Linked DNA regions of Elephas maximus indicus. The protein of the gene in region 1 purifies or fractionates together with the protein of each later gene. This does not show direct contact. Links are inferred from orthologs where the notes say so. Each region holds a gene or a part of one and is shown in the gene's direction. Other genes may lie near its edges. The genes, in order: NRP1, mitochondrial chaperone BCS1, UBR2 and KDR.

Region 1 (8,156 bases):
TGCTGGATATATGATTCTTGGCTGGCATTTTTTTTCCTTCAATGCTTTTTATATGTCATCCCACTGCCTTCTTGCCTGCATGGTTTCTCCTGAGTAGTCTGAGCTTATTCTTATTGACTCTTCTTTGTAGGTGACTTTTCTTTTATCCCTAGCTGCTCTTAAAGTTATCTCTTTATCTTTGGTTTTGGCATGTTTGATTATAATATGTCTTGGTGACTTTCTTTTCAGACCTACCTTATGTGGAGTTCAATGAGCATCTTGGATAGATATCTTCTCACCGTTCACAATATCAGGGAAATTTTCTGCCAACAAATCTTCAACAACTCTGTCTGTATTTTCTGTTATCCTTCCCTGTTCTAGTACTCCAGTCACTTGTAGGTTATTTCTTTTGATAGAGTCCCACATGATTCTTACGTTTTCTTTTTTTTCTTTTAATTCTTTTATCTGATTTTTCTTCAAATATATTGTTGCCAAGTGCTTTATCTTCAATCTCACCAATTCTGCCTTCCACTTGCTCAATTATGTTCCTCTGACTTTCTATCGAGTTGTCTAACTCTGTAATTTTATTGTTAATCTTCTGAATTTCTGATTGCTGTCTCTCTATGGATTCTTGCAGCTTATTAAATTTTTCATTATGTTCTTGAATAACCTTTTTAATTTCTTTAACTGCTTTATCTGTGTGTTCCTTGGCTTGTTCTGCATAATGCCTGATCTCCTTCCTGATGTCTTGAAGAGTTCTGTATATTAAGCTTTTGTATTCTGCAACTGGTAATTCCAGGAATGCACCTTCATCCAGGAGATCCCTTGATTCTTTGTTTTGAGAGCTTGTTGAAACAATCATGGTGTGCTTCTTTATGTGATTTGATATTGACTGTTGTCTCTGAGCTATCTATAAGTTATTGTATTAGTTTATGTTTGCCTACTATATTCTAGCTTCTTGTTTTGTTTTGTTTTATTTTGATATGTCCAAATTGGTTGCTTGAGTGACCTAGTTTGATTATTTCCACCTTTGAAGCTCTAACATCCTGTCACCAGATGGCTAGAGTTGTTACCAGGTATATGAGCCTAGCAGTCCATTCACTTTTCTTGTATGGATTCAGCTCAGGTGTCCAGGTAGTTGGTCATCAAGTGTGTTGTACAGGCTCTGTCCTACAGTCTTAGAGGGGTTGGGGTGATTGGTGTAGGTACCAGTATCTGGTCACAGCAGGAGGTCACACTCTGAACAGGGCAGGGTGCTGACAACCATCTCCTGAGTGTCTGTGAGGAAAGCGCATCCCTGTTCCGTAGAGTGCACAGGCGGGTGGGTTCTGCAGACAGACCTTGGGCACCCAATGCTTTTGGTTGTAAGGACTGAGAGATACCAGTTATCCCCGGACACCTGTCACAGGTGGTTGGGTGACCTTAGTAGAGCCACCAGTCCTTAGGCCCCTGATGTGGGTAGATGAGGACCCTGTTTAATAGGCAAAGCAGTGTGAAATATCAAACAGCCACCTCTCCACCACACAGCTGAAACAGTTGCAGTCTGCCAACAAGGGCATACTCAAATAGGCCCACACGGGTCCATACAGGGGGGAAAGATATTCAAAGTTCACTGTCCGTTTATGCCTGGATAGGAGCCACTTCTGTCCTGAGTTCCCCAGGTTAGTGGAGCTGACAGATTATCTTTTCCCCAATTGTGAATTTATTCCTTCTCCAAGTCGGGGAGAATGGCTCAGGACATGCAATGGGACCTCTCTCAGGCCCAGGGAAATCGACAGCCACTGAAGCTGGCTTTGGGGCTGGGAGTGCAGGAAAATATACACAAGTACATAGCTTTTGCTGAAAGCACTGTTCTTCTCTGGTTTTGGAGGTGTGAGTAGGCTGTGTGACTGGCTGTTCCTCCCAGAGGAGACTATGACTGAACACTACCATCAACCCACCACAGCTTGAGAGTTCCTGGTGATTCAGATCCAGCACTCCTCTTCACTTCTGAACCATCTCCCCCTCCCCCTGCCACTCAGTCTGTTTTCTAACTTTGCCCTTGATATTCAGGGCTTCTAACTTGTCTTAAATGTAATCATTTTACTTGTTTTTTCTGGTCTTTGTTGTAGGAGTGTTCACGGGAAGCGTCTGAACTACTCCGCCATCTTGGTCCTGCCTCCTAAATATATCTTGAATACATCTTTTTCCAATTTCCACTCCCATGACCCTCGTTCAAGCTCTTGCTTATATCACATTATAGTTGCTTCCTAATTGGTCTCCTCATTCCGTCCTTTCCCCCCTTCTTAACTCATTCTCCACACAGCAGATTAACTAATAAAATTCAAATTAAAATTCTTCACTAGTTTTTAAATTCAGTTAGAATAAATTCCACAATTCTTAATTGCGTGGCGGGGGGGGGGGGCAGGTTATTGTTGTTGTTCTTTGTTTGATTTTTAAGAATACTTCTTGCTTTTTTTTAGAATTTCTTAAAACTTGAGTTCTATATTAATTTTCACAAAACTATGACTGAATTTAAAGAGAGAGCCTCTTTCTTATTTTGGTCACTGAAATTATATTTTTAAAATAGTTCTTTTGAAACTTTGAATATTTTCTCTTTAATGTTCTTATGGTTTGGTGGGTATTTTATTGGTTATCTTGACTTTAATTTTCCTAATTGAAAAAGTAATTCAATTAAGACAGAATAATCTGAGATTATTCATTACAACCAATACAAGTGTTCAAATTCTAGCTTAACCTCTACTATTAACAAAATGTCTTGAATCCACCAACATGATTCAAAATTTACCATTTTCCTCCTGTATCTTCCAATTGCATGCACTATATTACAAACACTTTGTATTACAGCTTTATCTTAAAACTTTAGATGGTTATCTTTTCTTGAATACTTGAAGAGTTTTCAAGATAACTTTTGAAAGGCCAAAAATAAAGTATCATAAAGTAAAAATTCATTTGTTTAGTTCCTTCTTTCCTTTGGCAATACATATTCAGGAGATAGGTATAAATGAGGTCCAAAAGACATCTCTTTATGATAGAGACATTTGACATAAATGCTGTTTTAAATTGAATTATTTTAAATAATGTAGATTAATTTAAATTCCAATTTTTTAGTCTTTTTCCAGTTTTACTTCTTCCATTCTTACATCTCAAATGTAGGTTAGAGCCTACTAAAAATATATTGTTTTATTGCATTTCTGATGCCTGGGCTTGATGTTTTTAAAAACTTGACGAAGATAGACCTGATACTATTTTTGTATACCAACCTAAATCTCCACATTTCATCAACCTGAAATACTATGAGAAAGTTAGTGGCTTTAATGCCCTTCTGGGAACAATGGATCTCATCTTATTTCTGATGAATTGATGAGAGCTTGGTGAAAGGAATGAAGCATTTACCGCCCAGTCTATTCTTAACGATGAGCCATGGTTCCAGCCTGACTCTGGGGGACCCTAGCCAGCGCCTTATTTCTGGAGCAGTCCCTGAGTGCTAGTCAATGGGGCTGAATAATGCTGACCCAGGGCCTCCGCAGGGCCTTCTGGGAGTGCAGTCTATACCTCTTCCCTTCATTGGAAGTGGGTCCTATCTAGCCTGAGGATTTGCGATATCGGGAAAGAGTGATGCCTTCACCATACCAAAATAAAATCAACCCAGGAACACTGCCAAATTCCTCCTCTGTCTATCACTTATTCTTGTATAAAGGTCAGTCTGTCTCCCTTGCTGGGGAATTGCAGAAATCTAAAGCTGACCTTCTTCAGCACTTAGTGGAATACAAGAGCAAAGGAAAGAGGTTGTCAGCAGGGGCAATTTGCTCTGCACCAGCCCACGAGCTAGCAATTATCAAGCAGCGTGGTAGGTAGGGTTCTATTATCCAGTACTGTACCTGGAAACTAAGGAGTCTAGAAAAGCCTCAAATCAGCTAAGACCAGGAAAATCAGTGGCAGAACTTAAGTATGGTATTTCCCCTAGAGTATATATTGCATGCCTTATTAGGTGACAGGAGAAAAGCGGGCAAAAGTGCTTAGCTGGTGAACAAGAAAGGAGACAGGCGTTCTCTGAGCGTTGACGCGCCGGAGGAGCCCTTCCCGCTGGGGAGGCGCGTGAGAGCCGGAGGAGGAGCGACTGCTGCCAGAGCCCGGAGGAAGCGAGGTCCGGGTGGGGGACAGTCCGTCCCTGAGTGCGCGACCCGGTGGCTTTATTTACTGCCCTTTCGAGTCCAGGCTGGGAAATGCACGCTCAGCGGGGAAAGGGGAAGAGAGATTGGAAGCAGTTTTCTAAAAACAACACAGCTCCAGTCTTCCGCGTGTGCCCCCTCGCTGACCCCGCCGAGGCTCAGACGGGTCAGAACCGGCTCCCTGGAGCGAGGGCCGCACAGTCCCAGTAGGAAGAAGGCGACTATCTGTAACTCTAGGACGCCCCGATGCTGCACCTCCCTGTTTCCCTTTCTCTGTCAACATGCCAGGTGCTGAAAGCCGTCTCTCCCACCGAGCCCTGGACTGAGGTCACTAGGGGCCACCCCAAATCTGATGATGATGTTGATCCCGCGCAGCTGGGGACTGACTGGCGGGGCTGGGGCTGCGTGCAGAGCAGAGATAAGGCGGAGAGGCGGCGACGAGCAGAAGTCTTAGCCAGGAGCCCAGGTTTCCTCCGCCGGAGCGCTGGCTCCCCTGGGCTCTGCTCTGGGCGCGGCTTTCCCCCGCCTCCTCCCTCCTTCAGCCGCCAGGCCAGAGGCGTAGACCTGCCCACCCCCCTGCCGCAAACCCTATCTCTCGACCCATTTGATACCAGGGCCAGTGTCACCTTCCTACCCCACGCCTCGCTGGGAGTGCCTCCCAGGGGTCGGCGACTCGAAAAAGAGCAAACTGGACAGACAGGAGGCGCTCTGGAGACAGGGATGGCTTGCGGAGCGGAGGTGTCTTGGTCTCAAGATTGGCGGCTGGGGCTCAGCGGACGCGGGTAGGGTGAGAAGAAAGACTTGCAAAGGAGGGCTTGAAGCCAGAAACTGGCAAGGATCTGATCGGACCAATGAGTTCGGGCGCCGCGGACTGCTCCTCAGCGCGGGCACGGAGCCCGCCTGCACCCTGAGGGGCGCGCGTCACCGCGCCCAGCCTCAGCCCGCGAGTGTGAAACCCTTGCCTCCGGCCGGCGCGCTTTGGGCTGCCACTCTCCCTGCCCGCCCCTAGTTCTTCCGCCAAAACCTTTGACCAGAGTCTCCTTGTCAACATTCTTAATCTCCTTTGCCAGCTCTTTAAACCAGGTAGGAATAAGGTCTGATTTGGGGATATGTAAATAAACGCCAATTCCCAGAAGGTAGAGTGACCTTTTCACCTTGTCCATGATCTCCTTTGGAGGGAATCCGCGGGCACTGACCCCTCTAAAGGGCTGAATCCATGATCACAAACTGTTCGTTTCTCTGAAATGTCCTTGCTATTCATATCCGCAGACGCACTTCAACAGCAGTTCTCTGGGAGCCCTTGGGGGATGAAACTGGGGAGCCTCCAGCGACAGTGACGACTCCTCTCTGTGGGGAGGTGGGAGTGGGCAGGAAGCTATAGGACTAGCGCACACAATTGCCTGTTGCCGGGAGTCGGCGACGTGCGGGCCCTGCCAATAGTCCCCCTTTCCACCTCTCTCCTCAGCGCTTCCTCTTCCCCCGGGATGCAAAAAAGCAGGGGCCACTGGACCCCTAATTTCTAAACCGCTGAGTACCTGGGCTCGGAGACGCGGGGCTGGGTGGGGTTGGGCGGCGACTGCCCCCTAGCTGGAAGGCGATTTATCTCCCACCCTGCGGGCGTCCCCTCTATCCCGAAGGGGAAGTCTTGTCCAAATCTCGGGGAACAATGGAGCCCCGCGGCGCACGGCGGGCACCCTGGCGCCCAGGCGCTCTGGCAACCAGCCGCGCGCCCTGACGTCGGGGCGGGAGACCGTGTCCGCCTGCAGCCCGGCCTCGCACGCCTAGGCGGTTTGACATGGCCGTACGTGGCACTGACACTACCTCCCCTTTCTCGGCTTTGCAGTGCGTCTCCTACTCCAGCTGGGCTTTCCACCTCTGGCCCGCCAGCCCTGACCAGGAGTGCCCAGCCGGCGCCCTGATCCTCCTTGCCACAGGTCCCAGTCTGGTCAGGCGGGGAGTAAGAGGTGGGGAGTAAGCTGGCATCGTAGCTCCCCTGCCCAGCTCCGCGCGGAGAAGCCCCGCTCTTAGCCAGCAAGGGGATTTGGAGTTGCAAGAAGCCGCCGCCACCTCCCGGCGCCCCGCACTTCTCGGCAGCGGGATCCTCGCTGCCCCGCAGCCTCCCCGGCTCTCATTCCGGGGTGCAGAAGCGAGGTCCGCCGAGGTAGGCGAACCCTGCGCCTTCTTTGGCACCGACATCGATACCCCCACCCCAAACACACACGCAAGCACGCCCTCGGCGCAGATCACAGAGCCTTCCTCCTCGTGAAGATCCCTGCAGGGCCTCGGAGAAAGACAGACAGACCGACCGGGAAGGCACAGTGAGGGAAACTTGTTCCTCCCCTCTCCTGTCAGGCAATTACTGGCGAGCTTGTGCAGGGAGAGGGGAGGAGGAAGCGAGGGAAGGGCTCAAGAAGGGGAGGGGGAGGACGGAAGGAGGTGGGGGAGGCGGGGGTGCAGTTAGTGAAACTCCTCTGTCTCCCGCTCCTCTTTTCATTCCTTGCTCCTCTCCTTTCCGCAGACACCCCGGACCTTCCCTGGGCGCCAGCTCCTCGGCTCCAACGGGTCCAGAGACTACCCAGATTTTTTTTTTTTTTTTTTTTCCTTTCTGGAAATTGGCTTTGGTGTATGTTTCCCTACCTCACTCCTCCCCCTCCCAGCCCCCACTTTTTTTTTTTTTTTTTTTTTTTTGAGACATGGCTCGGGCAGCGGCTCTTGGAAGAGGAACAAGTGTGGGAAAAGGGAGAGGAAACAGGAGCTAAATGACAGGATGCAGGCGACTTGAGACACAAAACGAGAACCGTTTCTCTGGGATCAAGGCATTGCCTCGCTGCTTTCCTTCCTCCAAGACCGGCTGGAGGATTTTACAGCTCTGAGCGGAGTTGCGGCGCTTGGGATTTTTCAGAGTACTCCCTTTGCTGTATTTTCCCTGCGCGATCTCGTTCTCCCGCTTTTGCCTGGAGGTCCGGAGAAGGTAGAATGGAGAGAGGACTGCTGCTCCTCTGCGCCGCGCTCGCCCTCGCCCTGGCCAGCGCTTTTCGCAACGGTAAGTGACAGGCGGAGGCGCGTCTGACAGCGCCGCGCCCGGGGCTCCCCGGCTGCGGGCGTCCTACCGGGCTCTGCCTCCTACCCCAGCAACCCGACTCACGCAGAGCTGCTGGGATGAAGCCGGAGGAGCCATCCGCCCGGGCGAAGGAAACTTTTATCCGGGCGGAGAAATAAAGAAATCAAAGCAATCGGTTTATGGCAAGAGGATTTCAAGTCCTCTAGCTCCCTCCTGGACCACACAGCTCCCTCCTGGAAGTTGGCTGTTTGATTGTGGAGGTTTTCCTATCTCTCTTGCAAGACGGAGCTGCCGACCTTCCCAGATCAGCACACCAATTATCTTAATAATGTTTCCTCCCAAAGGCAATTAGATGAGCCTCCCTTTCAAAAATTTGATGGCAGTTAAAAGTTAATGAACACTTTACCAGGAGAAACAACTTCCTGGTTCTCTTGCAACTCCCCCAAACTGTTTCCTCTGGCGGGTGCCTGCAAAAGACAGTGGTTTGTTGGTTGATGGAACCCCCGCCCACGGTTTTGTAACTCGTCCCTAATCCGTCTGGAGTTTGAATGAAAGTTGCATGGTGTCAATAAAGGAATCTGATATATACAGCCTAAGGCACCAGGATATCTCGAAACCCCTAACCTAGTTGCAGCTTCCACTTTGCTCTTTCAAACCACTCACTGTTAAGTAAATGAAAGACTGTGCTGGGGTATAAACAGGACCATGTAACATAAATAATGTGTTTTATGTGACCTGGTTGTAGGCACGTTAAACTACCACTGAAAAGTTGCTGAAGGCAAGGGTATGAAATTATCTTTACAGTAAGTCTTGGGCGATTATTAATAACTAATTATCAAATATTTACTTTAGTCTGACTTAGATTTCAATCAAAGTAATTAGAAGAAAAGAACAACCACTACTTTCTGTGGTATATTGTTTTAATAAGAGACTGCAAGCGGAGG
Region 2 (7,087 bases), on another chromosome or scaffold:
ATTAACTGTTTCTTGTATACTGCAAATATTTTCCCCAGCCTCTTTATTTATTCTTTATGGTTTCTTTCATCACACAGAGAAGTTTAGCTAAGCTTTTCCAGTATTCTTTGCCACAACACTATACTGCCAAAGAGAGTGGTGACAATTAGCTGGAGGATGGCAGTTAAAAATATAGGTAGTTTCCTTAAAATAAGAGATTATAGATGGTATGTGGCTACCACTACATACTATTCTAATCAGGACCACAAATAGATGGACCCTGATAGAATGGGAGAAGAATGTAGATCAGAACCTCAAACTCCTTTAAAAACAAAAAACAAACAAACAAACAAAAAAAAAACAGACCTACTGGACTGGTTGAGACTGGAGGACTCCCCGAGTCTAATGCCCTGAGATACTCTTTAAGCCTTGAATCCAAACTAGTCCCTGAGGTCACCCTGTAAGTAAATAACAGACTGGCTCACAAAATAATGAATACCACCCGTAAGTGCTGCGCTCCTTTTAAAAATCACCTATGTGAGACCAAGTGGTCAACAATTACTTTAAAACAAAGATGAGGATGTAAAGCAACAGGGAAACTAGATTAAAGGAAACAAAACAACCAGAGCTAAAATAACAAGAATGTTCACGCACTGCAACGAACGCAACCAAAGTCACTGAACAACTTGTGCAGAAACTGTTCTAAAGGAACCTAAACCACTACGTAAACCTTCACCGAAAACACAATTTTATTAAAAAAATAAAAACAAGGGATTATAGATATGGGCAGAATAAAGGGATGACTCTTTCCCCTAGGATAAATACAAATGCTCAACTGCCACTCTTTAACAGCTTGCTTGGATGAGTTACTTATGTTATGCAGGAGAAACTAGGACGGGAAAGCAGGTACCAGGTTACCTCCGGAAAGCCCTGCCAAGCCCAGGTGGTGGAAGAGAGCCTGGGCCTTTTGCCTGATCCCTGGCTGCAGTTCTTGGGTTGGAAGACCAATATGGGTGAAAGAATTCCCGGGAAATATAAGAATAAAAAGAAGCCAGGATTGGCCAGAGGTGTCAGGAAGGTCTTCCTCTCTGGATTACTGCCTAGCAAACTGAAGCCCATCCTGAGCCCTCACCAGGAACAGGCTCTGCCAAGAGCTTGGTACAAGGTTGTGCATCACCTTGGCAGCCTTCGGTCAACATTCACCAACTGCAAACCAAATTACAACATCTCAAAGTATAAAAATAGGATGCTGCCCTGTGTTCTCATATTTATACAGAAAGATCAAAAATAGCATGGACAAAACCTCAGGGCTGCTTGTTCCACTGGCCTCTAGCAACTGTATTTGTACCTGGGGTGTCTCCAGGAGCATCTGGGGATAGGTTTCCAGCTACTGCTTCCACAATGATCTCCATGTTCCCTGTGCTCTCATCAGTTGCTGTGGCCTCTACCAGCAAGCAGCCTGGGTCCGGAGGCAGAGTTGTGGGGCTCCCAGAGGGGCAGGGGCTATGAACAGGCTCCAGGATTCCACGGTTAGAGAGAGGTTGGGGGATCAGCAATAGTTCAGAGCACAGTCCATCCATCTCCCCAGTACTGTTGGCTGGCTGTGAGTCCAACACAGGGTCTGTCATCACCACCGATTTCAGTGCTGTGGCTTCTTAAGTGCTGATAAGCCAACGAGAAGAAAAACAAAAACAAAGAGTCAGAGGTCTCACTTTTTTCCCAGCTGGTGTGGGTGTACAGCCCAGTGTCTGCCAACCTAGGCGGTTCATGCTATACCTTATTAACCTAAAGAGAGATTTTCTTTTTATGACTACATCGAGAACAAAAAGAGAATAGAAATAATGATAAACAGGGTCACTACTGGAAGACAGCCGACAAATCCTGGCCAAGATATTAAAGACAACAGGTTGTGTTTCTTGCACTGCTAACACTTAGCTAAGTGACCTTGGACAAATCATGAAACAATGATTTGTTTTCTCATCTGCAACAAAATTTGGTGGGACCAAAGAAATCTCTGCAGTGCCTTCCCCTCTTAACATTTTATGATTTCACTGTTCTTCATCACGTCTATAAGGCCCTTCATGATCTGGCCTCTGTTGATCCTTCCAGACTCAACTTTCACTTCTCCCCTCAACAAACCTCTAAACCAGCCATATCAATTTACCATTCCTTAGACTCCCAAAATTCTCCATACCCCAGCACATGCCTCTCTCTTGGCGTGACATGCATTTCCACCTTCTCTCACCTGCCTTCCCAACTTCTAACTACCCTTTAAAAATCTGCACAAATGTCACTTCCTCTACGAAGGCTTCTTAACTTAAGTTGTTTTTTCTCTTCTGTGGTCCTAAAGACACTTTCTACGTGGCCCTATCACAGACTATGTCACATTGCACTGCTGTTTTGCTATCAGTCTCCCTCCTTAGACTCTGAGCTTCTTAAGTGGAGCTTTTTTTCTTTTAAGTGACATCACTTCACTGAACACAACCCACCAACAATCTATGCAAGTTAGACAAATAAGGTGATTCTAGTGAAGAATTGTAGAGGATCAACTGTAGAGACGCACCAGGGTAAAATGAGTTATCTTGGTAACCATGTGATTCCTTACGCATAAAATAATACATGTGGAGAAATTTCAAACTCATTGACTGGACTATGGCCTCAGACTAAACACTGGAACACAACTGAGAAATGAATGGTGGTTAAACTGCATATCCTGTTAGACATGACTAAAACAAGTTTAAGCTGAATAATTCATAACCAACAAGAATAACGACAGTAATCACTTCATGGAAGATCAGTAAAGACCTAGGGCTAGGAAGAAATCAGGTTGCACGTGAGAAGCAAGATGCACAAAAAAGAAACTAAGTCCCTGCAATCTCATATGCCCTGTTCTCCAGAATCCTGCCTCTCAAAATCTCAGTTCACACGGAAGTGCCCTTCTGCGATTAGAGGGGTTCTCAGCAAACCACAGCCTTCATTGATTCTTATCTTCGCTCTGGGGTATCTTTCCGTTTGGTCCTACATGGTCTGAAAGGGGAACCAAAGCGCACGCGATGCGGTCTAGATTGAGAACCTTCATCGTCTAGAAGGCGCGGTGAGTCGGGAGACAGGTGGATACAAGAGAAGAGATGAGCTGATCGCTGGGATAGGAGCAATGAGGAAAAGAAAGGGCAAATGAAGGCAGTGAGAAAGAAAGATTCCCGGCTTGGGGACCAAGGCCTTCAGGCTCTGACTCACCGTGCGGCCTTGGGCAGACAATTACTTTGCCTCTCTGGGCCTCAGTTTTTCCATCTGTAAAATGGAAACGATGACAGCATCCACAATGTCTGAGAGGAGTGAGGATCACAAGAGCCGAAGAATGGGAAAGGTGTTTTGTAACCTGCAAGGCTTAGGACGGAGCATCGTCATGATTACGGTCCTGAGGAGGCAGCGGGTACCTGGGAGTGGTCCAGAGCAGTGACGCGGCTGAGGCACCGGGGCCGACCTCCTTGGCGTGCACCCTTCAGCACCTCCTCCCGGGGGTTCCCCCTGCCCAGACCAACCCTCATCCTCGGGCTCGAGAAACTTTTGCCTAGGGATCGCTCCACCCGCACAGCCTTGCAGTGCCCAGCCCGTAGCCACTCACTCACCTCCCGGCCCAGAGCCGGCGGGAGCCGCATCTCTATGGTCGATCAGCGGCTAGAGCGGTCGCCCGGGGCTCCTTTTGTGCAACCGCCTCTGGCCCAGCGGCCTCTAGGACGTAGGGTACATGAAGGCTACTCTTTCCTCCTCTCGCCGGTTGGCGGGGTACTCTATGGTTTTATCTATAGTTTCCCTTCCCACCTCTCCCGGCCGTGGCTCCCAGGGAGTACCATCGAGAGTTGTGGGGCAGAGTGGCAGGGCCTTCTTGGTGGGCGTGGCAGGAAGTAGGCAAAATAAGTCGGGGCTGGGCCAAGCGGCGCTTCCCTCAAGTGCGAGGAGGTGAAACCATCGAGAGGGAGGGCCAGAGAGTCATGGCGGTAAGGGGGCGGAGTGACGGGTCACTCCAAACCACGCGGCTGGAGGCGCAAGCTGGGGTGTGGAGGGGGTTCGGGAGTGGGCTCCTGAGCGTCCAGCATGGGCCGGGGCCGGGGAGGGCTCCTTCTGCGGCTTTCCATGCAGAGATGTTTTGGAAATCTGGATCCTAACCCTGAACCTCCGCCGAGGTCACTGCTGTCAGTTCACCGCCCTGCGAGCCAGGCGCAAGGCAAAGTGGCAGGAGGATTGGTGGTGGGGAAGAAGGGCGGGATACTAGAAACGGCTTGGCCCTTACCCCTTGGGATCTTACAGCCTAGAATTAGACACGGTCACATTTTATTGGGGTAATTCAGCAGAGACTCCGTGGAGGAAGTAGCAAAAGGGCAGTATTTCTTTTTCCGAGAATGGAGGGTATAAAGAAGAACGGGTATTCCGAGCTGAGAGACCTTCAAAAGCAAGGCGGTGGGAGGTTGTTCGCATATTTTTTGGCTAGAGTATTAGAAGCTAAACCAGGGAAGGTAGGTGGGTGCTGTGTTGGAGAGAACCTTAGATTCTAGACTGAGGAGTTCGTACCTAATTCAGTGGTCTGTTGGGAGCCATTGGAAGTATTAGAGCAGGGCGAGTGATAGAATTGGAGCTGAGCCCACCTGTGTAGCATTTTGGTGAAGCTGGAGGTGGAGACTCATTAAGAGGCCATTTCGAACTAGAATTTAAACGTTTTAGAGAGACAGGTTAGATGAGAATTAATAAAATTCTAAGCAGGGCAGGTTAAGGGGAATTGGGCGTGAAAGGCAGAGTATGTTTGAAAGACCTTACTCAAGGAAGGCACGGGGTTAACTGCCATGTCAGTGGAAAAGAGTAGCTCTTTCACTCTCTGCTGACTGCAGGCATTGGGCACCTTTCTGTCCCAGCTGGTCTCAGGGACCACAAAAATTCTGTCCTTCCGTTATCCTAATGTGAAGCTGGTTACATTGCTCCCTGGGGTTTAAGGAATCTCCAGACACTTCCTCTGGCAGGAAACAGGTATGAACAGGCTAATGAAGGGCAAACGGGAACAAAGGGCCTGGAGTCTCAGTTCTCTTGCCCTCGCATTCCAACCTCTTCCCCCTCCCCCCCACAAAGGGTGGATATTGAAGCACACAGTAGTGCCTACCTGTCCCTCTACAGGAGGGAGTGGGGTGGTTTGGGATAGGAACTATGGAGTCCAGTTTGTTTCTAAGCTAATCTTATGCATTGTCTCATTTCCACTGCCTTCAACCCCTAGGTTTTGATAATGCCTCAGGGCTTGTAAGGCTCGGTGTTTCCCTTTCAAGATGTCCCTCTCAGACTTTATTCTGGCCCTGAAGGACAATCCCTACTTTGGGGCTGGATTTGGGCTGGTTGGTGTGGGCACAGCCCTCGCCCTGGCCCGGAAAGGTGCCCAACTGGGCATGGTGGCATTCCGGCGCCATTACATGATCACACTGGAAGTCCCTGCTCGAGACAGGAGCTATGCTTGGTTGCTTAGCTGGCTGACCCGCCACAGTACCCGAACTCAGCACCTCAGTGTGGAGACTTCGTACCTTCAGCATGAAAGTGGCCGCATCTCCACCAAATTTGAATTTGTTCCCAGCCCCGGAAACCATTTTATCTGGTAAGGTTGGGAGCCAGGGAAGGCTTTAAGAGCAGAAAAGGAAAATGAGGGGAGCAGGGTCTGACCCATTTGCTCACCCCATTTTGGCCATTCTTTTTCTTTTTTAACTGTGCTTTAAGTGAAGGTTAACAGAACAAATTAGTTTTCCATTCAATAGTTTATACACAAGTTGTTCCATGACATTGGCTGCAATCCCTGCAGTGTGTCAGCACTCTCCCCGTTATCACCAAGTTCCCCATTTCCATTTGTCAGGTTTTCCTGCCCCTTCCTGCCTGCTCATCTTTGCTTTTGGGTAGATGTTGCCCTTTTTGGTCTCGTGTAAATGATTGTTCAGACCAGTAAATATGGTCGTTTTTATGAATTTGAATTTTGTTCTTTTTTTATCTCTAACTGGGACCTTCTGTTGTGATCCTGATCAGGGTGGTAGTGGTAGCTGGGTACTATCTGGTGGCGTAGTGGTTAAGAGCTACGGCTGCTAACCAAAAGGTCAGCAGCTGAAATCCACTAGGCGCTCCTTGGAAACTCTATGGGGCAGTTTTACTCTGCTCTGTAGGGTCGCTATAGTTAGAATTGACTTGACGGCAGTGGGTTTGGTTTTTTTGGGTACCATCTAGTTCTTCTGGGCTCAGGCTAGTGGAGGCGTGGTTCATGTGGTCCATTACTTCTTTGGATTGTTTCCTTGAGTCTTTGATTTTCTTCACTCTCCTTTGCTCCAGACGGAAAGAAATCAATAGTTGTGTCTTAGATGGCTGCTGACAAGCTTTTAAGACCCCAGATACTACTCACCATAGTAGGGTGTAGAACGTTGTTTTTATGAACTATGTTTTGCCAGTTGACCTAGATGTCCCCCAAGATTATGATCCGTAGTCTTCAAGCCCAGTAACTCACTTCCTTGAGGTGTTTGGTTATATCTTGGATGTTGCCATGGCTGTGCCCCCTGTGTGCTCTGTTATATATATGGATGTACATGCTGCACATACGAATATGTATGTAGAAATATCCACAGCCAAACCATATGCGTGTGGATGTACTCCCATACACCCTCCCACTTCTTTTCAGCATACATATCTACTATGTATCCACTCAAATTATTGTTTGTTATTACTGTTGTTGCAGGATTGTATATGTCATAGTATTTACCACTACGTATCCACTCATAAATTGTTTTTACTGTTGTTCCAGGATTGTATATGTTATAGTATTTACGTCCTCTTTTATCCTTGTGTACCTCTCAGTGTCTTCTCTTGCCTTGGTTGTATTGTGCTGACTTCCTCCATATTGTGTACTGCCTTTCCGTTCACTAAAGTTAACACGTGTCTACTCTCTAGTTAGTGATTTTCCCTTCTTCACCCTCCCATCCCTCGTAACCATCAAAAAATGTTTCTCTGTGTAAACTTTTTCTTGACTATTCATAATCGAGGTCTCATGATATTTGTCTTTTTGCGATTGACTTATTTCACTCAGCATATGCCTTCCAGA
Region 3 (7,112 bases), on another chromosome or scaffold:
TAACTTTGTCCCCAAGAAAAGCAGAGCATGTGTCCACAGATCTTAATCATGAATGAACCTATCTTGAAGTGGCTTTCCTAACATAGAAATGTCTTTGTTCACTCTTTTGAAACAATTCAAAAACACAAAGTTCTCAATATTTTATCCATGGCCTGTAAGAGTCAAATAATATAGGACCCAACAAGGAGAAGGGAGCCTTCCCTGGCTTTTGGCCTACTGTACATGAGCTTGGTTAATTATATAAAATATATATATATGTATAAATTAACTTACCTGGAAATGGGTACACTGGAGAAGCAGCATTGCATGAAAAGAATATGAGCCTTGGAGTTGGAAAGACTTGAGTTCAAAGGCCAGCTCTGCCCCTTACCTGTGTGACTGAATTGATGGCTATAGCTGCATTAAAAATCACCCCAAAACTTAGTGGCTTAAAACATCAATTACTGCTTAATGAGCTCTGAGTTTCTGTTTGGGGTGAAAAAGTTTTGGAAATAGATAGTGATGGTGGTTGCACAACATTGTGAATGTAACAAATGTTACTGAATGCACATGTAAAAATACTTAAAATGGCAAATTTTATGTTTTATATGCTTTGCCATGAAAAATTTTTTTTTTAATTAATCATTTATTCATGATTCTGCAGGTTGGCAATTTAGGCCATTTTTTCTGGTCTCCCTCATGTGTCTGCAGCTACCCACAGGTCAGTTAGGTGCCTCTGCTTCTAGGAGTTGGCTGGCTGCCAGCTGTATCTAGATTCTCCTCCATGTGGTCTCGCATCCTATAGCAGGCTAGCGCAGACTTGTTCTTAGGGAGAAAGTGGGCACTCGAAGGAAGCATGCAAGACCACCTCTGGGGATTTAGGTTTGGGACTGCTATTCTATCACTTCTACCACATTCCATTCACTAAAGCAAGTGACAAGGCCAGCCCAGATTCAAGGGGTAGGGAAATACACAGCACTTCTTTATTTTATTTTATCATGCTTTAGGTGAGAGTTTACAGTACAAATTCGTTTCTCACTCAAAAATGTATACACAAATCATTTTGTGATATTGGTTGCAATCCTCACAACGTGTCAACACTCTTACCCTTTCTACCCCAAGTTCCCTGCGTCCATTCATCAAGTTGTCCTGTCCCTTCCTGCTTTCTCACCTTTGTCTTTGGGCAAGTGTTGCCCATTTGGTCTCATATACTTGAACTAAGAAGCATGTTCCTCACGTGTTATTTTTTGTTTTATAGGCCCATCTAATCTTTGGCTGAAAGGTGGACGTTGGGAGTGGCTTCAGTTCCGAGTTAGCAGGGTGTCTGGGGGCCATAGTCTCGGGGGTTCCTCTAGTCTCTGCCAGACCAGTAAGTCTGGTCTTTTTTTGTAGACACCACTTCTTGATGTAAAGAGTGGTAGAGTCACGTTGTAAAGGAAGTGCCTACAGGAAGCCCCCTAATGAGGGTCATTAAACTGCAGTCAACCTACCACAGTGACCTTGGGAAAGTTATCTTACCTTCATAAGTCTCAGTTTTGTTGTATCTAAACTGAAATGTATTAACACTTATCTGAAAGATGCTAGTTGAGAATAGGAATAATATACCTATTACTGTTACCAGCTGGCATAGCATTTATTAGTTTATATGAAAACTAACTGCCATGAAACTTATTGTTCCTGATTCATGCCAAGTCTGTTCCAGCCTTAAAACCCTTGCTGTTGCTGTCTACTTTGCCTAGAATGCCCTTGTCCCAGATCTTCACATGACTGACCCTTTCTTCTCATTCAAGACTCAGCTCAACTTTCCCCTCCTCAGATATACCTCTCTGATCACCCTAATTATTTTCTTTGAACATTTCTCAATATCTGTAATTGTATAATGTATTCACTCACTTACTTTTTTATTGTCTGTCTCTTCCACTAAAATATAAGCCCATGAAAGCAGTAACTGTGCCTGCTAATTGATATCTTGCCAGTAACAAGAATGTGACTGGCATTTAGTAGGAGCTTCAGAAAATATGCACTGAATGAATTGATGGGTGGATGGAAGGATGAATATGGCCAAAGACTGGGCTTTGTGGGAAATAGTACATAGATGGGTATCTTTTGCAGGGGGAGAGAGAGGGAAGTAGGTAATGAGCTGGAGGTTGAGACCATGTCTAGGCCCAGTGAGGAGCCAGGGTGGAAAGCCCTGAGCATAGGGAAGGTCCTGTGCCTGGGACTGGGTATAACAGGTGGCACCCAAGTGGGCCTTTTTACAGTCCTGCCCCTTCTGAGCCTCAGTTTGTACCTTTTGCCCTTTCACCAGTTACGTTATTTCCTTTCACCCAGAAAACTCCCTTCTACAAATTTATCCTTTGCTATACCTAAAATTTGGAAATCCTGGTGGCATAGTGGTTAAGTGCTATGGCTGCTAACCAAGAGGCCAGCAGTTTGAATCCACCAGGCGCTCCTTGCAAACTCTATGGGACAGTTCTACTCTGTTCTATAGGGTCGCTATGAGTTGGGATCGACTCGACAGCAGTGGGTTTTGTGGGTATACCTAAAATTTAGCTTGCCAATCAATATGAAAATGGAATTTAATTGAATATTCTTTTAATCACACAAAACACTGGAAAGAACCAATGAGTTCATCAATAGTTTAAACACATTGCGATACATTCATGGAATAGCACAGAACGCTATGCAGTCATAAAAATAACAAAGCATTATTAGGTTAAAAAAACCAAGGTGTATTGGGAATCTAATACGTCAGGCACTGTTTTAGGAACATATGTACATAAGTGAAAACAGAAAGTTACTGCCTACATGGAGCTCACATTTTAACTATCCTAAAAATATGGCAAACTTTATCATCTGAATCACCACCAATCCCAACACAAATACCTAGAAATGTTGGTTGAAAATATAATAATCTCAAATGTATATCTGAAAGGTTGAGGCACCCAGTGCTTCTGATTATGGAACCTTTGTGTTTTCTCTTCCTGGATGCTTGTAAGATTCTAAAATTTCCAAATTATAACAACAACAAAAACATGTTCCCTACTTGGTCTGGGTCAGAACTTTTTTTTTTTTTTTTTTTTGCGTAATGTAACTCACAACTTCCTTCTGGGAAAAAATTAGCACTCCTGATAAAACGTGTAACCAATTTTCTGATAAACTCTAAATGGTTGAAGATTTGTTTTAAGAAACCCATTCACCCAACTGTCAGTCAAGAATCTAATTGCCATTAACCAAACAGAATTTTTTTAAATATCTAATCTAACAATGGTTGTCTATGTCTATCAAATGTCCTTACCAAGAGTAAATCTTCAAATTGGCCTGATACAGTCCTTTTCCTTTGCAGGAAATTTTCGTAATCTTGATAAGCGGTCATAACTAAATTGCTTGAAAAGTTTTTCTATTAACAGCATTTAAACATATTTTAAAACCTTAAAACACCTGGGTAATGTTCAATTCGGTACTAGTCTAAGGGGAGAGAGGATGATGGATGACAGGGTCAAAGAATTCTACAGGAGTAGAATGCAATTCATCCATTCTTTTGACAAGCATTTGAGTGCCTACCTTAAGTCAGGCTTTGACAAGTACTTACGTGTCTACCACGTGCCAGGCACTGTTCAAAGCGCTGAAAATACAAAAATGAACAATTGGGTGTATGGGATAAAACTACAATTCCCACATTATCGTGTTCTGGTGCCTCTTCCGGAAATCCTGGTGGTGTAGTGGTTAAGAGCTACAGCTGCTAACCAAAACGTCCGCAGTTCGGATCCACCAGGCGCTCCTTGGAAACTCTATGGGGCAGTTCTACTCTGTCCTACAGGGTCGCTATCAATCCGAATCGACTCCACGACAAGAGGTTTGGTTTGGTCTTGGGTTCGTGCCTTTCCCAGGTAGGCGTCTCATGCCACTAATCTCTTCCCATGATTCTAGTCGTCCAGAAAGTCCCGCCCCCTTATCTGCCATTTGCTCAGTCTCCGGTTAGAAATGGACTACAACTCCCACAATACCCTCGTGGGGCACCCTATAAGGGTGTCACCGTTCTCTGTGCTGTGCTGAGATCTACTACAGTTCCCAGTATCCTCCTCTTCCCCTCCTGAGTGTTATTGCCCCTTTCCCGGTGCGGGAGACGGTAGTAGCGAGCAAGGGTGCCAGGTTTGGGTTCCTCTGTGTCCTTCCCCTGGGCAGGGACGAAGCAGTGACTTGACGCTTAGGCGCTGAGCCCGGGCGGGAGCGCAGAAGACCGCCGTCCCTCCTGTCCGGCTCACCGCGCCTTTCTCCCTCTGCTGCTTCCCCCGCAGCCGCCTGGGCGGCTCCGGGACTGACTGACTGACTGCCTGGGGCGAGGGTAGCGGTCGCGGCCGCCGGGGCCGTGGCGAGGCCGCGGCCCTCGGGGCGGCGGTAGCGGCGTCAGCGCTGGGGAGAAGGAGAAGGGAAGATGGCGTCGGAGCTGGAGCCCGAGGTGCAGGCCATCGACCGGAGTTTGCTGGAATGTTCGGCCGAGGAAACCGCGGGGGTGAGTGCCGGACCCGGGCGGGGACGTCCAGCCCTCGCTGGCCGCGCCGGGGGGAGGAACCCACTCCTGGAAATCCTGGTGCAGTCTGGTCCTGACTTGGGGTGACGACCGGGCCGGCCTGGCCTTGTGGAGTAACGGCCCGGGCAGGCCACCGATCGTTTTTCCCCTCTCCTTTCTCTCCTTCCCTCTTCATTCTCAAACAGCCGCCAGCACTGCACTGTGCACCAGCCGCGTTTACATTCCCTTTTAGTCCCGGCTGACCCAAGAGCTCTCATTATTCTTCTTCCCCTCACCCTCCCGCAAGTCCCCAACACGCAGGCCTTTGCCCTTTATTCCAGCTCTTGGAAGATGGGAGGGAAAGAGATGTTTCCTAGCGTTTTGGGTATTATCGCCCTACTTGGTCTTCCCGATTCCGTTTTCTGAGATAAGCGGAGATACACATTGTCCACCAAAAAAGGTTCATTAACTGAGCCCCCACTTTGTTTCTGGGACTGCCCTAGGCACCGGGGATGCAAACGACACAGTTCTCTCCCTTAACCCCTTCAGCGCGCTTTTTAACCTGTTTGGTCGGTCCACAACGTTTATGAATGCGTGGAAGATAGTGTCTTGACACGTTTAGTGAATGTGTGAAAGTAGTAGTGATGGAGGCTGCAGGTGAAATTTTTTTTTTCTAGGAGTTGATGGTCTTTGGATAGACGACAAACGTTATATAACTTCGAGGCAGCAGTTTTCACCAAATATAAGCTAATAATATGAGGGTTGGCTAAAGCATAGTAGAAGCAGTATGCCCCAAACTGATACTTAGCATTGTAGTGAAACTGTAATTTGAATATGCTAGTAGTTGTAAAATGATTGATGAAACTCGATGGCATTTTTCCCCAAGCAGGACAGGGAACACCCATTAGAACAGATTGTCCAGATTGATTATGAATGGACCAAAACAACTTGGGCCCCACCTCTAAGGCCTCCAGTTTAAAAAACTACTAGGAAGGGAGTGAACACAAGTCGACAGTCTGAATGTTATGAAAAAAATTTGAGCAGGGGGCACTGTGGGGCTGTTGGGCAGTGAAGTTATTTTGAGTGAATTGATGAAGACACTGAAGTTTTAGGGTGGAAATAAGTGAAGGCAGGAGTAGAGGTGAACATTTAAAGAAATCCATGGTTCTTTGCTTGTTTTTTTGTTGTTGGTTTTAACCACAGTCCTGACTTGGTTGCTTAGTCTATGTTTTCTTTTACTTTCTGCTTAATGTGGTAACAACCCAAGGATTTACATCCCCCATCTGCGTTTCATTGGTAATTATCAAAGAGATTTGAACAAGAAAATGAAAGCAGCATTACAAGTAAACAGTAATATTATAATAACGGCAGCTATTCCTTATCCATGGTCTTGCCTGTTGATATTGAATAAGTTAGTTACCTCAAAGTAATTTTTTTAATCCCGCCAAATATTAGTGCCTGTTGGCCCAGAGATGCAGGCTACATATTCTATTATCCCTATTCTAAAAGTGCAAACTATTGAGTAGCAGAGCTTCTCCAACTTGTTGAGGTTCCTGAAGAAACCAGTTAACAGAAACGGTGCTGGAGACCAGTGCTCCTAGTTCTTGAGCAGTGAAATTCTCAAGCAGACACAATGGGGAAAATAAAGGGAAATGCAATAAAAATTTATTAATTTGGACTTCATTTGAGTTTGTGAAGATCAACAAACTGAATTCCATTTTACTATTGCTCTGTTTACTTTAAATGGCTTTCTGACCAATAATATAAAGAAAAATGTTTACTCTAATAATTAACAAAATTCCTTCAAATATTAGGTGCAAACTAATATGAAAATATAAGATTCCTCCAGCTATAAAGCCTAGCCTTACTTTGTAAAGGATTACTGTCTGTATTTTAGTTATGTTAGCATAGCACTTAAAACTATTCTTTCAACTTAGGCTCCAGCACAGCTCTTTTTCACAGACTTAATAAAGTTTCCTCTCCAATTTAAAGTAAATGTTAGAGAGGATAAACAATACTGGTAATTTGTTGGGATCACATCCGTTTTAGATTACTAGTGAGCGCTAGTTTCTTCTTTCCCACACTTTATTTACACACCGCTTTTCTTATTTCTGTTATGAGGAGAAAGGACTTTATTGTGATCCCATATATCCTAAGTACTATGCCTCACAAAAAGCATCTAGGCTGGCTTTAATTATTATAAATTTAGGATATGGAAATGGCTCCCTCTTCTCAGTCTTCTCATTTTCCTGATAGAATTGATTCCACAACAACTATGACTTTCCCAAAACTTCTCAGCTCTTATTTACTACATTTTGTGCTCCACAGATTTGATTATAATAATATTGTGCTCTAATGGGTGATTATGTTTTAAGAAATACATGTATTGTTTTCCCCCAATTATAAATGAAATACATATTCGCTGTAGAAGTTTTAAGTCTATATATATTTTTTGCTTTAATATTTTAACAGATTTGAAAAAAAATTCATACACAGTCAATTCAGTGGGTTTTAGTATATTCATAGAGTTGTACAACCATCACAGCAATTAATCTTAGAACATTTTCATCACCCTAAAAAAGAATCTCTGTATCCATTAGCAGTCACTTTCCATTTCTGCATA
Region 4 (7,611 bases), on another chromosome or scaffold:
ATCTTCACATGTACAGTTCAGTGACATTAATTACGTTCAGCATATTGTTCAGCCATCACCATGAACAGCTGATATTCTTAAAGTTGAAAGCAATTTTCAAATTAGAGGGTATGTTTGGAAGGCATAATCAGCCAGCCAATTAAAGACCTTTTAACAAGTACTGTTGAGTGATATTATCAATACCACCATGATTATAACGTATTTTACAGTTTACAGAGCACTTTCATGAGGTTGTCTCATTGGAGTCTCATAATAATCCTTGAGGGAGGGTAGGCAAGAGTTATTACTCTCACTTACCAGTGAGGAAGCCAGGGGCCTATCTAGGGAAAATAACACCTATGGCAATTGGTTTTAAATTGCTGAACCATCTCTCACAGCTGGCAATGGAAACTTCCATGGCCAACAGAAACTGCTCATTAGCGCCCCTCCTTAAGTGGCGCCCAGGGCACTGCCCAACGTGCCATATCTTAGTTGTGCCTCAGCTCGGGAATCTGATGCCTACAGTGATGGAAAGATTAACTCAGTGTCATTCTAAATCTGTGTATTAACCACAGCAAGACTCTGACAGTGGAGTGAATAGTAAAATGAACCCTTCAGGTCCATCATTCAGCTTCCACAATTATTAACCTTTTGCTTATCTTCATATTTACTTTTTAAGATTTGAAGTCTAAAATACTGGTGATGGTGATGGAACCAAATTCAGGGGTCATGAGGTGTAATTTATGTGCTTTGGTGATATGAGCAATATATATTCCGTGTGCACAACCCCAGTTCCTAGTACATAGTGATGCTCAAAAACTGTTATTGAATGATTGAGCCTTACTGCAGTTTAGAGGTAGGCAGCGTGAAGTAGACCATGCATTGTAGTATAACTAACCTTTGCAAAATACTTCTTGAGGTGTATCAGGTGCTTATGTGTAGGGTCCTATGCTTACCAGGTGCTAGGTCCTATTCTCAGTGACTTGCATGTAGTAATTCATTCAATTCTTAGAAGAACTCTGTGGAGAAGGTATATTATCATCTTTTGTGTTCTGTAGATAAGCAACCAGTAAATTGGTCAAGCCCCCATGGATAGTAAGTGGTAAGTTGACAGTCAAACACAAGCAGTGTAGGCCTACAGTTTGCGTGCTTAGCTACTGCCCTTCACTGCTCCTCTGAAGGTGTGTGTCTGAACGCCATCACTGAACACTCTTGAGACACTGTGCTAGATGGTGGCCATACCTGCACTGCCAGACTAATTCACAAAGTCACTCTTTTGCAGTGGTGCCAGATAACAGGAGAGCTTTGCACATGGAACACTTTTTTTTTTTTTTTTTTTAACAGACTCTCATTTTTCAAGAACACAAGGCCCTTCTAAGTGCTGTGTGGGAGGGAATGTGGTAGATTGATTTCATTGAGACCCTGCCAATTTCTGGTCCTGTGGCCATCAAAGATGCATCACTTCCTCCAAGACATCGAAACGGGGCTATTACCAAGGGCCTGCAGGTTCTGGTTTGCATTTGGAGGAGGAGACACTATCTTCTTACTTGAGATCTGGAAGAGGAAGTGTCCTGAATTGTAAATAAGGCTGAGAGAGAATTGTCTAAAGATGGAGATGGAGAAAAATTGCCTTCACCAAACCACATTCCACCTCCCTCTTCCTCATCCAACTCTGCCAGAGCCCATCTGTTTTACTTCTTAAATTTGCTAGCAGGAGGAGAGGTGTTTCTTTAAGGACCTTCCCCAGTAAAAAAAACACTCCTCAACAACACTTCCTAGATAAATATCTGTAGAGTAGGACATCATGCCACCGTTAAAAAGAATGAAATGGCGCTCTGAGGGTTGAGTGATGTAGAGTGCTCACCAATGTATATATTAAAGTGAAAAAAGCCAAGATTCAAACAACAGTTCTATCAAGGCCGCCATTTGTGAAAAAGGAAGATGATTACTCTGCGTATAAGGGCATAGAACTTGCTTGGAAAAAGGGAACTGGTAAAAATTCTTGCCTCTGTTGAAGAAAGGTTTTTTTGTTTTTTTTTTTAAAGGTCTTTTTACTATAAACTTTTTCGTATTTTTGGAAAAAAATTTACCCATATGCATTTATTATACTTAAAAAAGAGTTAAAATACTTCATTTATCAAGTTGGAAAAGTAGAAGAGTAAAGAAATGTATTTTTTAAATAGCAGAAGAAAAGCAACACCTGATGATGATTGTGTATTTCCAGAGGAGGGTTTTGGACTAAATGTAGGGTTAAATTCTTCCTCTTCATCCTGCTGAAGGGATAGTTCTTTCAGCTGCTATGAAAACACGCTTGCATGCACCTTGGAAGTAAAAGACAGAGGGATTTGAGAGACTCCTATTTAATGAAGTTAGGGGACATGTGATGATTTAATGAAGTTAAGGGACAATTGATGTCACTCCCTGGATGTAAAGAGAAATAAAGAGAAAACAAGAAGAAAGAAATATGGTCATGAAAAAATGCTAGTTTCTCTACAAACAGCACCACAAGTAGTCTACATTCATGGAAAGAGTGGTGAGGTCTGGTCACTGGGTGTTCTGGGTGCCTAGGATATGGGAGTTTTTGCTTCATTGCTCAGCCTCAGGTTGTCTGGGCAGGAACTTCAGACTCTGAAAAGGGGCCTGGCTAACAGTGGTATCACTAGGGTTGGTGTTACTCAGTGTGGTAACTCATGGTGCTGCCCCACCCCGTGGACCTCCTCCAGTACCAGACCATACAGAATTCTTAGTAATGTTATGGGGCCTTGATGGCACAGTGGTTAAGCTTTGGCTGCAAATCAAAAGGTGGCAGTTTGAATCCACCAGCTGCTCACTGGAAATTGTGTGGGGCAGTTCTACTAATACTATTCATAAATCGTAATTCCCATATATCACTGAATGTAATAGCAATAGTAGTGATATAAACAAGTAGGAAAATTAAAATGACACCTTTAACACCTTTAAGTTACAGTTTTCTATCATACGCACAGCCTAAATGTATTTACATTTCACTTGGTTCAAGTGAAAATTCAGTAAGGAAACAATAGAATTCGAAGTAAAAATATTTAAGAACTACATCAAAATCACGTTCATTTTAACATTAAACTTTACGTGAGATACATTAGTGGATTAGGTTTGGAAAGCGAGGCAGAGCGAGCCAAGAATTGACCGAGCGGTTTCTGCTCTTATGTTATATGTCTTATGTCCTCTCTGCTCCTCACCATCCAGGTTGGTACTGGCGACGTTTTTGGTGTTTTTAAGTCTGATTAGTTTTCCCCACTTGGGTTTTAAAAAATTTTAAATAAAACTCTGCTGTCTTGGAGGGTTTCTACCGGCTGGAAGGCCCCAGGACATGCGCCCCCTCCCCTGCCATGAGGGAGAGAGGGAAGCAGTTCTCCAAGATGAACTGCTCAGTCCAGGGCTCCAGAGGACCGGGCTTTTTGGAATGTAGTTGGGAGTCTTACAGCTCTTGGGCTGTGCCCGGGTTTTCCGAGCTCCTCTAAAAAAAAAAAAACAAACTTTTTTTATAGAGGAGGTGTATGTGTGCGCGCGACTGTGTGCGTGTTCCGCGGCGCCGCTCGGCGCGGGGGAGGCCCACGCGCCCACGGCCGGCTCCGGGGGAGGTTGGTGCCACCGCCTCTGACAGTGTCACCTGGTGCGGTCCGCAACCCCTGCACCCCTTTAGTGAAGCCACTGCTGGCTAAGAGTCCAAGTAGAGTCAGGCTGGGTGCTCCTTGTCCAGTAACACCGGACACAAAAGGCCTTTCTTGAGAGTCTCATGCCAGGGACGGAGGCCACTCACGCAGCGGGTACGCAAGAGCCCGGGATACCTTCAGCTCCCTGAAGCCCTGCTTTAAGCTTTTGGCTAGGAGCTAGGCAGAAGTCGCAAATTTGAAAGCCTTCTGGGGCTAAGCAGATAAGTTCAAAATATTTGAAGCCGCGTGAACTTTCGGGAACTGGGGAACTGTATTTTCAGACTGAGACATTCAGAGTCAGATTTTCAAAGTACAACTGTGCTGGCCAAACAAAACACTCGTAGTGTCTACGTTCACTGCGGGTTTGCGACCCCGCAGACGTCTCGGCTCAGTATCTGCTTCTCCCTGGTTGCTCCTCCAACCTAATCCCGCATACAGTTTAGACGCGGCGCACCCCTTGCTGCATTTCCGGTGATATTTCTCGTATCTCGGGGACCGGCAGCCGACTGAACCTTGGAATGGTTCAGAGCCCTTTACCGGCTACATTTTATTTCCACCAGAAACTAAGTTGTTGCGCCCGGAGCGCTGCACCCGGGCCGACTCGGGGCCGGGCGCATCCCGGGCAGGTGTAGAGGTGAGGAGATGTAGTGCATGTTGTAGGAGCGGGATCCAGGCCCCGGAGTCCCGGGAACACCCAGTTCGGCCGGGTGAGGGGCGGGACCTGTGGCCCAGGGGAGTCCCGCCCGCAGCCCCGCCTCACCTCGCCCCGCCTCAGCGCTCTAGAGTGTCTGCCTGGTTCCTACTCGGCAGTGAGTCCGGGGACCCCGGGCGAGAGGAGGTGTGCTGACGCTGCCTTTCCTCTGCCACGGGCATCATTTGCTCCCTGTAGAAGGCCCAGAGCCGGTCCCTCAGCCGAGATCTCCTCTCAGACAAGCGCCCGCAGACGCCTCTCCAGCAACTGCCGGGCCGGGGCACCCTCGCCCTGCGCGCTCCGGGTTGCTGCGCTGAGGCACGCGTCTCGCCTTCACGCCTTCTTCGCCAGGCAAGCCCTCCGGGAACGCGCGTCTGAGTTTTGGGCACTGCGCCCGGCGTGAAGTGCAGGATGGAAAGCAAGGCGCTCCTAGCCATCGCTCTGTGGCTGTGCATGGAGAGCCGGGCTGCCTCCGGGGGTAAGAAGCCCACTCCTTGGGAGGGAGGCGGACAGGTTGGGTGCGCACGGAGAGATCCAGATTGTGGAGGACATGGCGGCCCGATATAACTTCGAATCTTAGAGCTGGAGAGTTGGAAAGGACTTGACGCTTAGTGCTGTTTAATTAACCATTGGGGAAATTGAGGCTCGGAGACTGACCTCCCAGCGAGTCGGTGGTCTACTGAGTTCTAACACGATGCCTTTTCTACGGCTCTGGTCTCTGACAGGCGCCTCGACTGGAGAGTGTCCTGCGAGCCAGCCGACGCACGCTCGGGCTCCCGGAGGCGGGGATAGGAAGGCGCCCAGGGCAGGCGTGCAGGAGGTGCCCCGCAGGCGGGGAACAGGCGGTGAAAAGTCTTAAGGGCTGGGCGCACTATTTTAGTCCGGGTGCAGACAGGCAGCTCCTCCGCTGGGAATGAAGCCCTGCAAGGAGCGTAAGCCTGGTGTCCCAGGGCGTCCAGTGCACTCAGCTCTACTTCCGCTAGAGTGGAGCGGGGATCCCGGCCAGCGTTCCCTCTTGGTCTGAACTGACAAGCACAACCACAAAGAGATGGCATCCAGTGAGAGGGAACCTTTTTTTTTTCCCCCCTTTCCTTGGTGCAGGGCGCCTCTTTCCTCGCAGAGAAAAAACAGAGAAGGTAGGGGAAATTGGGACTTGGCCCTGGGGCTGTGACAGGTTTCCCGAATGTCTCTAAGTGACAGTCACCTTTCAAGGTAAAACAGTGTTAACGTTTTTTAAAGCGGCTTTGTCCTTGCGGTAAGCGCATAGTCAGAAGTTCGCCCTGAAGACCAGGTCTGCCGGACTTCATACCCAGTTTTAGCGCCACTTGCGACTTCCCTTGCCACCTAACATTGCGGTCTCCTTTAAGATTAGGAACACAAACGCTCTTAGTGCCATAACTTTTTTTTTTTTTTTTTTAACGTTTCCCAGATAACATTCCTTCTCCGTAGCCATAATTTACTGATTTCCAGATTACGTGAGGTTGGAGGGGGAAAAAAGTCAAATGTTTAGGAAAATTATTTTTTATTATTTTGAAAGAAAAGAATCACGTGTCTTAAGACTTTTCTACTCACTTACAGTAGCAAGATCATCTGTCTAGAGTTATTGAATTTTCTGAATAAAGACTTGGTTCACCAGGCCCTGCTCCACCCTGGACACTCATTCGACCCTGACAAGGGCCCTCTCTCTCCCTTCATGGGCAGAGAATGAATGTCTGGAACATGTGGTTGTTCTGTATCCCACAAAGAAGTGAGTCGCTTTTAAGCCTGGGGTGTTTCATAGCGCAGCGGTAGTAATGGTAATAGAGTTGCCCTGAATAATGGTGAGGTTGCCCTTTTGGAGTATGTGGCTTAATTAATTGGATTGAGCTATAATTGGTGCCATCCAATTCTAGAGACAGAGACACTGTTGTTTTTCCTTCCTGTGTTTGAGCTGGAAGGGGTAATAGTGCACAAACTAATTAATATTGGTTATGGAACTTGAACATAGCAGGCCTTGTTATGGAGTAGAAGGATATGTATCTTTTATAGTCATTTCTTCAGAACTTTCTGAAGAGTAGAGCTCAAATTTGCCAATAAAAATGTATGAAGCTTAACGGAGGAAAAAAAAATTGAGCCTTGGCCGAAAGATGATGAATTTGAAGTTATCATTATTGATAGCTTGTTGAATAGATTTTTGTCGTAGATTTGTCTGTAGAACAGTATTGTGTTGTCTTGGCTTCCTATGAATGGGGAACACATCTTTTTTATGTTTAATTTTTACATAGCAAAGTGTGTCTAGAGTGTGGAATGATTTGTGGCAATAATTTGGAGAGATCTTAAAGAATCTTTTATTTTGGTGATGGTGGAAGCATAGCTTATTTTAAGCCTAGTCATTTACTACCATTTTGCTCTCACGTGAATGTGCCCAAATAATGACTTATTTCTCATTTGGATCATTGTGTGAGTTGTAGTAAGTTTCTGCTTTCAACGTGTTTTTCAACCTGCTGTTTCCCAGTGAAGTCTGAAATCTATGCTCACACAAGTGAATTTTCATTCTCCTTTTCTTAGGCAAAGTGCGACTCCATTATTGAAAGGCATTTCTTTTACTTTTCCACATTTTGCTTTATTGCTTGCATTCTTTGGGGGCAGTTAATTTCTTCATATTGAAACATGGTGTGCTAGCTAATTAACTGAATATGACAAACCAGACCAATAGCTGTCCAAGAGTGGCCCTTAGACCATCTATGTCAGAGTCACCTGAAATCCTTGCTAAAATGCATTTTCACAGGCCTAAGGATAGCCTGACACATCCTAGGATTTAAGAACCACTGCCTCAAACACAGCATGTCAGTACCAGTGACAGTTTCTGAGGCTTATTGATGTAATTAATTTCCATTTTTTTTTGACTGTGTTATTGATGAGTAACTATGTGGGTGTGTGAGAACATGGGTGATCAGTTTGTTCATTTTGCCTGTAGTTATTCACGTTGGAGTCCACAGATTGGATGCACTGGATATTTGCTTATACTCTCTTTACTCATACTCTCTCTTACTTGCCCATATTTGCTCATACTCTTTATTTCCCCAGCAAGATCAATGCTAGTTTAGGTCCAGAGAGTCATTTGTTCTTAGTTGATGTGAGTTAGGGATCACACTAAGTTTGGGTGCTTCCCAGCATTGATCACTTTTTAAGCTGCTGTTTTGTGGATCCTGATATGTAAATGGTTAAGGCTCTCAGATGCTCACCATAAAGTTGACGGCTGGAGTCCAC

The links.
Region 2: the proteins of NRP1 (region 1) and mitochondrial chaperone BCS1 purify together in Homo sapiens (affinity purification with mass spectrometry; 3 studies listed by BioGRID and IntAct, counting the BioPlex papers as one, with this or other methods). This does not show direct contact. The link is inferred for Elephas maximus indicus from reciprocal best matches to the Homo sapiens genes NRP1 and BCS1L.
Region 3: the proteins of NRP1 (region 1) and UBR2 purify together in Homo sapiens (affinity purification with mass spectrometry; 3 studies listed by BioGRID and IntAct, counting the BioPlex papers as one, with this or other methods). This does not show direct contact. The link is inferred for Elephas maximus indicus from reciprocal best matches to the Homo sapiens genes NRP1 and UBR2.
Region 4: the proteins of NRP1 (region 1) and KDR purify together in Homo sapiens (affinity purification with western blotting; 7 studies listed by BioGRID and IntAct, with this or other methods). This does not show direct contact. The link is inferred for Elephas maximus indicus from reciprocal best matches to the Homo sapiens genes NRP1 and KDR.

What each region holds. Positions count from the first base shown.
Region 1 is NC_064822.1:6,926,910-6,935,065, reverse strand, and holds the start of NRP1 (neuropilin-1), read left to right. Parts: upstream 1-5,142; 5' UTR 5,143-5,234; intron 5,235-6,223; exon of another isoform or gene 6,224-6,312; intron 6,313-6,635; exon of another isoform or gene 6,636-6,669; 5' UTR 6,670-7,127; coding exon 7,128-7,194; intron 7,195-8,156. UniProt on the Homo sapiens protein: Cell-surface receptor involved in the development of the cardiovascular system, in angiogenesis, in the formation of certain neuronal circuits and in organogenesis outside the nervous system. Mediates the chemorepulsant activity of semaphorins.
Region 2 is NC_064824.1:117,210,436-117,217,522, forward strand, and holds the start of mitochondrial chaperone BCS1, read left to right. Parts: upstream 1-3,934; 5' UTR 3,935-3,977; intron 3,978-4,051; exon of another isoform or gene 4,052-5,239; 5' UTR 5,240-5,288; coding exon 5,289-5,608; intron 5,609-7,087. Other genes in the region: ZNF142 (zinc finger protein 142), read right to left, coding at 1,328-1,607. UniProt on the Homo sapiens protein: Chaperone necessary for the incorporation of Rieske iron-sulfur protein UQCRFS1 into the mitochondrial respiratory chain complex III.
Region 3 is NC_064819.1:107,011,400-107,018,511, forward strand, and holds the start of UBR2 (E3 ubiquitin-protein ligase UBR2), read left to right. Parts: upstream 1-4,006; 5' UTR 4,007-4,414; coding exon 4,415-4,492; intron 4,493-7,112. UniProt on the Homo sapiens protein: E3 ubiquitin-protein ligase which is a component of the N-end rule pathway.
Region 4 is NC_064823.1:106,202,294-106,209,904, forward strand, and holds the start of KDR (vascular endothelial growth factor receptor 2), read left to right. Parts: upstream 1-4,466; 5' UTR 4,467-4,773; coding exon 4,774-4,840; intron 4,841-7,611. UniProt on the Homo sapiens protein: Tyrosine-protein kinase that acts as a cell-surface receptor for VEGFA, VEGFC and VEGFD. Plays an essential role in the regulation of angiogenesis, vascular development, vascular permeability, and embryonic hematopoiesis.